Linked DNA regions of Schizosaccharomyces pombe. The protein of the gene in region 1 interacts with the protein of each later gene in a pairwise test. Each region holds a gene or a part of one and is shown on either strand. Other genes may lie near its edges. The genes, in order: pil1 and SPOM_SPAC4F10.17.

The links.
Region 2: the proteins of pil1 (region 1) and SPOM_SPAC4F10.17 interact in a two-hybrid assay, tested with the Schizosaccharomyces pombe proteins (one large-scale study listed by BioGRID).

The regions. Positions count from the first base shown.
Region 1 is NC_003421.2:346,508-351,825, reverse strand, and holds pil1 (lipid binding protein Pil1), read right to left. Parts: upstream 3,268-5,318; 5' UTR 2,655-3,267; coding exon 1,599-2,654; 3' UTR 661-1,598; downstream 1-660. UniProt on the Schizosaccharomyces pombe protein: Negative regulator of cell wall integrity (CWI) in unstressed cells, probably by inhibiting protein kinase ksg1/ppk21 activity and regulating their downstream CWI pathways pck2-MAP kinase pathway and protein kinase gad8 pathway.
Region 2 is NC_003424.3:4,866,606-4,870,044, forward strand, and holds SPOM_SPAC4F10.17 (uncharacterized protein), read left to right. Parts: upstream 1-1,770; 5' UTR 1,771-1,982; coding exon 1,983-2,354; 3' UTR 2,355-2,678; downstream 2,679-3,439. Other genes in the region: SPOM_SPAC4F10.16C (P-type ATPase), read right to left, coding at 1-1,505.

The DNA.
Region 1 (5,318 bases):
CGTTGAGTTTACTCTCCAGCTCCTTGTTGCATTTGCCCACTAAATTGAAAAAAACGATTTATTCACATTGGGATTCATTTTACACAAGTGTAGCATAAGCTTCGATTCAATTCTGGTATAACTAAATTAAAAGTAAAACAATAATTTTGGAAAGGCGTTAATAATTTACCTTGTTTTCTCTTTTTTCGACATTGACTCCTCTTCTAAAGTATTCGCTTATTACTCCTAATTCTGCTCCTCCTAATACATCGATTCCTACTACTTGCATTGCTAATTCTAATAATTACTTCTTAATAATAATAACATACTAACTAACTTCCAACTCATAATACACTTTACTATTCTACCCTTGCAATTTACCCATCTCGCCTTCCATCTTTTCTCAATCATATTATGGTTTCTTATTCTCAAGATTAATCAAATCTACCTACCTCAAAAAGAAAAAAAAAGGCTCTTTGCAACGAAGTACATCATCCTTCACGTGCAAAAGACTAGCCAAGCTGGCACAAATATCCATCATACTACCAACAAAATAATAGCTACGCTAAACCCACTAAAAGCAAAACACACTTTCTTCAAATTCCCCCTCTCACACCACCAGCCAGCCAAGCCAAGCCAGTCTAGAGTCTTTTTCTTCCTCCGATAGCAATAGCAGCAACATATAAAAACAAATAAAATAATAATTATAATAAAAGGTATAATAATAAAATAATTGCGACATCTCCGCCTTATAATAACTATGTAAAAATTGAACAGTTTCTTAGCTATGAGCAAACTAGGGTTTCCGTCTAACATGCTCTCCTTCGCGCACGCCAGCTTATTAAATTAAGTTTTCTTTCAGCTCATACCTGTCACTGACGAAAAAAATAAACCAATCAAACTCTCGGTCGATTGAATTCTCAAAGCAACATATATCCACGATTGTAATAAAATAAAATAAAAGGAAAAAGGGGAGAAAAAAAGACAGTTTAAAAAATTTTTTTTCCATGGATAACAAAAACACAACCAACAAATATTGAAAACTTTTGACGTTTTTTTAACCCCTTTCATTCAATCAAACAAATCTTTCTCTATTCCGTCCACAAAGGGAATATAGATAGATAGATAGATAGATACCACCACACCTTCAACAAACTTTTATCCGTCCGCATCATTTTTTCATAACTCTTTATAAAAAACGAGAGGTGTGGAATTTGCAATGCCTTTAGCCTGTCTTTTTTTTTAAACGCCAATTTCGTCGAAGCAATTCAATCATACACCACCTTCCTTCTTCCTTCTATGACAAAAGAAAAGAGAGAAAGGAACCAGATGACACATACAATTATTCTTTAATAAAGAAAATAAATTATGACCAAACAAGGACCTGGGGAAAAGAGTAGTAAAAAAGAGTCGACAAACGAAGGAAGAATATCATAAACCCATTATCGTTTGTCAGTAACGATTGTTTCTGGGATCATCAATCCATCCAAAAAGGAAAAAGTCACGAAAAAGCCCAAATGGGATTACGATAAGCTTTCAAGAAATTTCTTTTTTATTTTCGCTTGACACTGCAATTTCCCTCTCCACGACGACAAATAGAAAAAAAGTAAAGAGTTTTTTTAAGCAACCTGGACGGCGGTTTGCTGAGGAACGGCATCGCTAGACTCAGAAGCAATGCGAGACATACGCTCAGCATGGACATGAGGGTGCATGCCAGGCTCGTTCTCAATGATCTCGCTAGTGTCGGATTGAACGTCGTCTTGTAAGTGGGTGACTTGCTCAACGGGGACGGGCTCACCTTGAGCCTCATACTCGTTCCAGGAACGAGCGTCACTTTGGGCATCATCCTCGATTTGAGGCTTGACAAAGTTGACGGCGGGTTGGCTGGGAACCCAAGAGCTCAAGGCGTGCTCAGCATCCATGACGATTTGGCGGGAAGTCTCATAACCATCGTAGGCAGGACGAGCCTCACCGGGAGTGACGGGGGTGTCGTCAATCAAGTTCAACAAATGTCTGCCATAGGTGGCAATGAGGTTGAGCTTCTCGGCATGCTCGTGGAGGGCATCCAAGTTGAAGGTCATGGCTTGCTTGAACTTTTCACGGGTGGTGTTGGAAAGTTGAGCCTCGGCAACCAAACAGGCAGCCTCCTCACGAACAAGCTCTTGCTCCATGGTGACCAAGCGAGGGGATTCAGGATCCTTATGCTTAAGAGCATAGATTTGATCCAAGAGCTTTTGCTTCTTCTCACGAGAGGGTTGGACAGAGGACTCGATGTTACGGATGGACTTCAACGTCATACGGTATTGGTCATAACGATCGATCAAGTAGTTCTCCAACTCGGCCATCTCGTAAAACAAGACACCCAATTTGTCGGTGACGTCGCTGATATCGTCATCGCAGTCCTCACCCCAGTAGGAAAGTTGGCGAGCACAATCACGACGGCCACGGATGGTGACCTCCATACTGCGCATCACGTTCTTTTCCATCTTGACCAAGACAGCCAAACGCTTAGCCAAGTCAGGGGTGAAGGTGGCAGCGTGGTTGATACGCATGGTATGACTCAAGGGGGCAAACAAACGACCACTACGAGTGGAAGAGGAGGGAGGAGGGGGGTTTAACAATTGTGAGGCCGTAGGGGCACGGCTGTTTCTTAAAGAGTACGCACGGTTCATCATCTTGCAGAAATAGAAATAGATGTGGGTAAATAAGAAGAGATGGTAGTAATAATAAAAATAAGTGGTAGTAGTAGTAGTATATTAGTATGTGATGATACTAATAAGAACAATTATAGTGAGAATAATTTAGTAGAGAGAGGACGAGTTATAAGTAAAAAAAAAAGAGTAGGACGAAAAATGTTTAACACTTTACCAAAGGGCGATACGAAATTTCGTGGGTATATAGTTAAATAGGATAGATAGTTAGATAGAGAGAGTGTGTATAAAAAAAGCCCAAAAATAAAAAAATTTGTCGACTATATGAAAAAATGGAAAGGAGTCGGGATTTTTTTTTGGGGAAAGGGAAAAACGAGGAAATTTTCCTTTTGGATTTCTTTCAAATTCACTTAGCTTAGCTTAACTTTTGCTTAGCGGCTATTCTCTGGGTATAACAAAAATGTGATGGGGTATATATAAAAAAAAAAAAGATTATATATATATATATATCCCAAGGTATGTTATATCCTATGGTATGAGAAAGGATACTATAATAAAGTATAGTATAGTTAAAGGATAAAAAAGAAAAGAAAGTTTTGACTAAAGTCAATGAAAACGTGAGTATGGATAAAGGTGTATCGGTAAATGAGCGAGCCAGTCTATATATACAAAGCTAAGGTGGGAAAATGATATCATCACTTGCCGTAGTGAACAAGAGTAGGTAAACATCATTTGGTCAGCTTGCTGGCCACAGTTGCCATAGATATGTCCATTCCTTCTATCACGTAAACATGACGTTCCCATTCGCGATAATATAAAACCGAATTTCTTTCTGGATAGCGATGTTGACCAATGCGTTTGGCGCACCGCGTTAACTGGAGCTGAAGGGGGAGGGGAGGGGGGCAGCGAGTGTTGAAGGGCCGATGGGGTAAACAAACGCGTCGTCGTTGTGAAAGAAAGAAAGAGAGTGAAAAGAATGAATAGGCCGGGGAGTGGTAGGATGTGGTAAAGAGAGAAGAGGGAGAAGTGACGATGGGTGTGTTGAAGAAGGATAGAGCAGAGGAAGGCAAAGTGGGTAAAAAGGAAATAGAGTAGAGAAATGAATAGAGATAGAGGGGATAAAACGGAGGAGGATAGGACAGAGGAGAATGGGATAGGATAGGATAGTGTAGAGGAGGATGGAGTAGCTTAGGATAGAATAGTGTAGTGTAAAGTAGAGTAGAGTAGAGTAGAGAAGAGAAAGAAAGGTAAGAGAGAGAGAGAGAGAGACAAGAGAAAAAACAAAAGATAAATGGACCGATAAAGATAAATATAGAAAGAAAGATAATATAAATGGATAAATATGGATGAAACAAAAATAAAAAAAAAGGTTAAAACAAAAGAGAATAGAATAGAGAAAAGGTAAAAGTTAGAGGCAACAAGGGTAGGTAACAAGGAACGAGGTGACAAGAAATGGAAAAGTGAGAGAGAGAAAAGAAGTAGCGAAAGAGAGTGAGTGATATTGTGAAGAAGTGAGTTGTGAGTGAAACGGGATATGAGTGTAGTAAGAATGAAGAAAAGAAAGATGAAATGAGTTCAGAAGAAATTAGATGAATTCAGAAGAAATGATTGTAAACGAGTTTAAGAAAATGCCGACGCTGACTATGAATGAGTATTAGATACTTGCAACAATTTTATCAGTTTATTCGGAAGATGAAGAGGATCGAGTGAATACGGAAATATCTATCTTTGGCAATACGGGAATGGAGCACCAAATGGAACACGGGAGTGTAACGGGCATGGCATGGCATAGCATAGCATAACATTGCATGGCACATGGCATGGCGATGTACTGATAATAGCTAGAAATGCTAGAGTAGCGACGAGAAGAGAGAAAAAAGAGCGACAAAAGGAAATAAAATAAAACGAAAGAAAATAAATAAACAAAAGAATACTCGAAATAAAATAAAACGAAATAAAATAAAATTAAACGAAATAAACAAAAGAATACCTCTATTATTTCCCTACTATTTTCCTACTAGTTCCCTTCTACTTTCACTTCCTTTTTCATGGCTCTTCTTCTCTCTCCTGCTCCTCCGACCGTCCGTACTTCTCTCCCTCTCTCAAATCTCTCTTCCCGACATATGGGAAATCTTCTTTTCCCTCCTCGCTGCCTTACTGTACTAGACTCCTGCTCTGCCGCCGCTGCCTTGCTTCCCTCCTTTCCCTACGGTGCGCGCGCACGATAACCAAACGCCGCAAGAAGCGATCGTCTATTGGATAAAGTTAGTGTCTCATATAGCCGAGGTATGGGAAAGGTGCGCAAAGGCAGTGCGCAGCAGGACAGACAGTTAAGAGGGTGCCAAGCAGTGCAGTAGAGTGCAATGTAGTACAGTAAGCTACCACGTAAATGTAGCAGAATGCAAGGCATTTCAGTAGGTGCAATGTAATGCACTATTTTACAATGTAATGCATTATTTTACAACGTAATACACTAACTAACAATGTAATACAGTACGTTCGCTTTCGCAAAGTAATACACCGTTTTGTTATCACCTCGTAGTTTTTATTTGCCCATCTTGCAAGGAACGAATTGCTGCGCTGCTTTAAAATGCATAGTGCAATACCTTATAACGTGCTGTATAACCTTATGCATCGTTTATCTATCAGTGGAAAAGCTCTTTCGTACTTTGCATTTAACGTGGAAAC
Region 2 (3,439 bases), on another chromosome or scaffold:
CCAGAAAATAAACACATAGCAAACAATAATAGAAAATTGAGAATTATTGTCCAATTCAAGTCACGAGTAATGCGACTTCGTTTAGAAGGAGTTAACCCTCGATTTTTCTGTATGCGAGTTTCTGATCCTGTATATAAAACAAGACCAATAACCCATTTTGAATTTCTCAGAGTACACCCACACAGTAGAACGTTAGAAATACTAAAAGGTTCTTCATGTATTTTTCTTCCGTTTGTACTCTCAGACGGTGATTGCACAGCGCCGGGTGCTTTGACGACACCGTTCAAACTGTACAGATCAGCATGAGGCTGTTCACATTCAACCCAAAAAGATGCCGCACTACACCTATACTCTGATTTACAGCATTTTGTTGAGCATAATGCGTATTTATCTTTCAAATTAGTTTCACCATCAAGGTTTTTTGTTTCCACATAGCAAACACCGTTTGAGTTTTCTGTGCTTAAGATGAGCAAGTCAGCAGGAATCGCTTCATCAGCCAAAACCTTAACGATATCGCCCACAAGCAAACTTTTCCTACACACACGCTCAAATTTGGCATTCGATGAGCCTGTTGATTGTTCCTGGATGACAGAAAAGCTGTTGGAAGGACCACTGTTACCAATCTCATGAATCTCAAGACTATCTTGTGAAACAGATGATAAAGTAAAGGCAGAGTCGGATTCGAGACTGTGCCTGTGGGATATATTATCCACGGTTAAGGTAGCGAGCCCAGATGAGATACCGGAATTTTTAAGGCAATAGGACATATCGGCGACGGTATGAGAAATAAATTTTTTTAATTTTCTCCATAATCCAATATGCTCGCCTAATGCATTGGCATTATTGAACCCTACCAATTTCCAAGTTAAGGTATTATTAAACTTCTTATCAAGAACACATCTCCGATAATCCTCAATTCCATCCTTAATAGCTGTAGTAAGCAAAATAACACTCAAAGGAATAAACGATAAGCCCAGGTGCTCGGGACAAAACAACGGAATACATTGAAGAAGAGTGACAAACAAAAAAAAAGCATTTGCTATGTTTTTAAATTGATTCCAAAGATTTTTGGGGATAAACGAAACTGGAGTATACTTGGTTGTGCGAATTTTATTACTAGGAAACCATTGCGATGGTAAATGCCTGTGTTCTTCTGGAATGCTAGTTACGTAAATTCTGCGAACAGAAGCATCTCCACTTTCGGTCCCAGCTTCATTCTTCTTTGATGTAACACGGCTAGTCCATGACTGATCTGAGTTGTTACACGAACCTTCAAAAGAGTTAGCTTCCTCATCATCCCTCGAACGTTGTTCCGCATGTGCTTCTTGTGAAAACTGGCTTTCGTGATGACGAGAAGAATAATCAGTTTGGTTTGTAGGTCCCTCATGAGCTAATGAGCCATTGTGCTGAGGTACATGGTGTAGATGATTAAAAGCACATATGGATAAGCCATGCAAAGAGGATTTCAATGAACTAATAGCATCAAAATTGATTAGGCTAGGCATCAAAGGGATCTACAATTCCTCAAATTCTTCCCAATCAGTTGCAGAATTACGAACGACTGCAACGTTCGACGATACCAATGACACAACTGGGAAATAAACAGAATTGATATCGCTTACGTACAGAATTAGTTCAATTAAGCTCAAAATTCGGCGTAGAGAAAGTCCTTTGAGGAGGCAAAATGGGTATGGCAAGATGATGTGTATTGATGTAATCCTTAAGTGCTGGGGTGTACTATATATACAGTGCAAAGGGTATGGGTAAAGTAAATAAACGATTTCTCAATAACAACAAATAAAGCATATTTATTGTTGTTTAATTTTTTTCGTCTTGAAAAAGAAAACAGAATTGGAAAATTGCTAAGGCACCATAAACAGATAAAGTATAACGTTTTAGTTCATACCCACTAGCGTTGGTAACTAAAACTTACACAAATTTTATATTTTTTGCTTTATTTTTTTTATCTTCATATTGTTAACATGGCGTTTCGTGCTGCAAGAATTGCTTTCGCTTGGAAGGCAACCAATCCTGCTAATACAACAATTCGTCAATATATAAAAGAAACACTGGAAGAAGCACCTGAGAAAATCAGTCAAACTGTCAAAAAAGCAACTGGTAAGGCTTCGAAAAAGATAGATGAAAACAAAGATAAGTCACCACAGGAAATGGCTGAGAATGCAAAGCAATCGGTAAAGCAAACTGCCAAGGATGCAAAAGATACCGACTATCAGCAAAAGGCGAAAGATGCTGGTAAGAAAATAAAAGAGGAATTTAGCCAACGGTCGGAAAACGTACTCGAAGAAACTCGTCGTGAGGGGATGAATCGTGATGGTGGTGTTAAAAAGGAATAAAGAGGATTCCTTGTAAATGAATCGAGTTAATGTATTGAGTGGAAGCTTGTATACAAGCTCCTTGATGCTCTTTATGATTTTAAAGATGCTTCACGTTTGAAAACATCGCTTTCTTTTTGGATTTATATGAACGAACAATGCATGATTTACAAAACGAAGCTAGAAGATTGTTAATAAACTAAAAATCATAGTTCAACGGTTCCTGGCTTTTATTTACAAAATAAATTCAATTTTTGATGATAGCAAAAAAAAAAAATTTCATGATTTAAATAAGAATGAGATTATCGCGAGATGTGTTAATTATATTCCGGTTGTATAGTCTGGTATTCGTGGCAGTGATACTGCATATTTTGCATTGCCGATGCTAGCCTTAGTATGGACTTGACTGTATGTAAAAACTTTATGGCCCACATGCTGTCAACAGCTACTATGGTCAAATTTAAATTTTGTTATTCTATAGGCCGGATAGTTGTATAAAGGCATTGTAATGGATAATGGTAATAATACTCATTTTGGTCAAACACATTCATGCCATTCTACTCCAGTAAATTCAATGCCGCTCGTTGTAAGCATAGCGATAAATCCCAAAGGCTGTTCAAAGCAATAATTTCAAATTTGTATTGCAACTTGCCAACATTTTTAAAGTAAATAAATTCCGTTATTGTACAGTGACATTCTCATGTTATATACGCTCTACAGTCAATAACATAATATCATTCACCAACATGATAGTACTCGATTGTATTATATTTTACTAGTCTTGAAGCAAGAATAGCCATAGCCCTTGGGTTTTTGAAGTTGCCAAGATTTCGGCTCAGAATGAAATGCCCAAGCTAAGATTTCCGAAGGTTTTTTCAAATTTTCAATATTTACTGCATTTACTCCCTCCACAAAATCTGGTTTATACGAGAAGATGTGACTGCTAAAATGATCATTATGCTATAAAAAACCCCATTTGTCGTTTACAATGCTTTACATTCGTTTTTATCCACACTATTCACAAGCCTGTGTCACGGTTTATGTAATTGGCTTGGGGAACGTGTTGGAAAGAATAAAACCGCTGTATACTTCATACGGAACGCAAT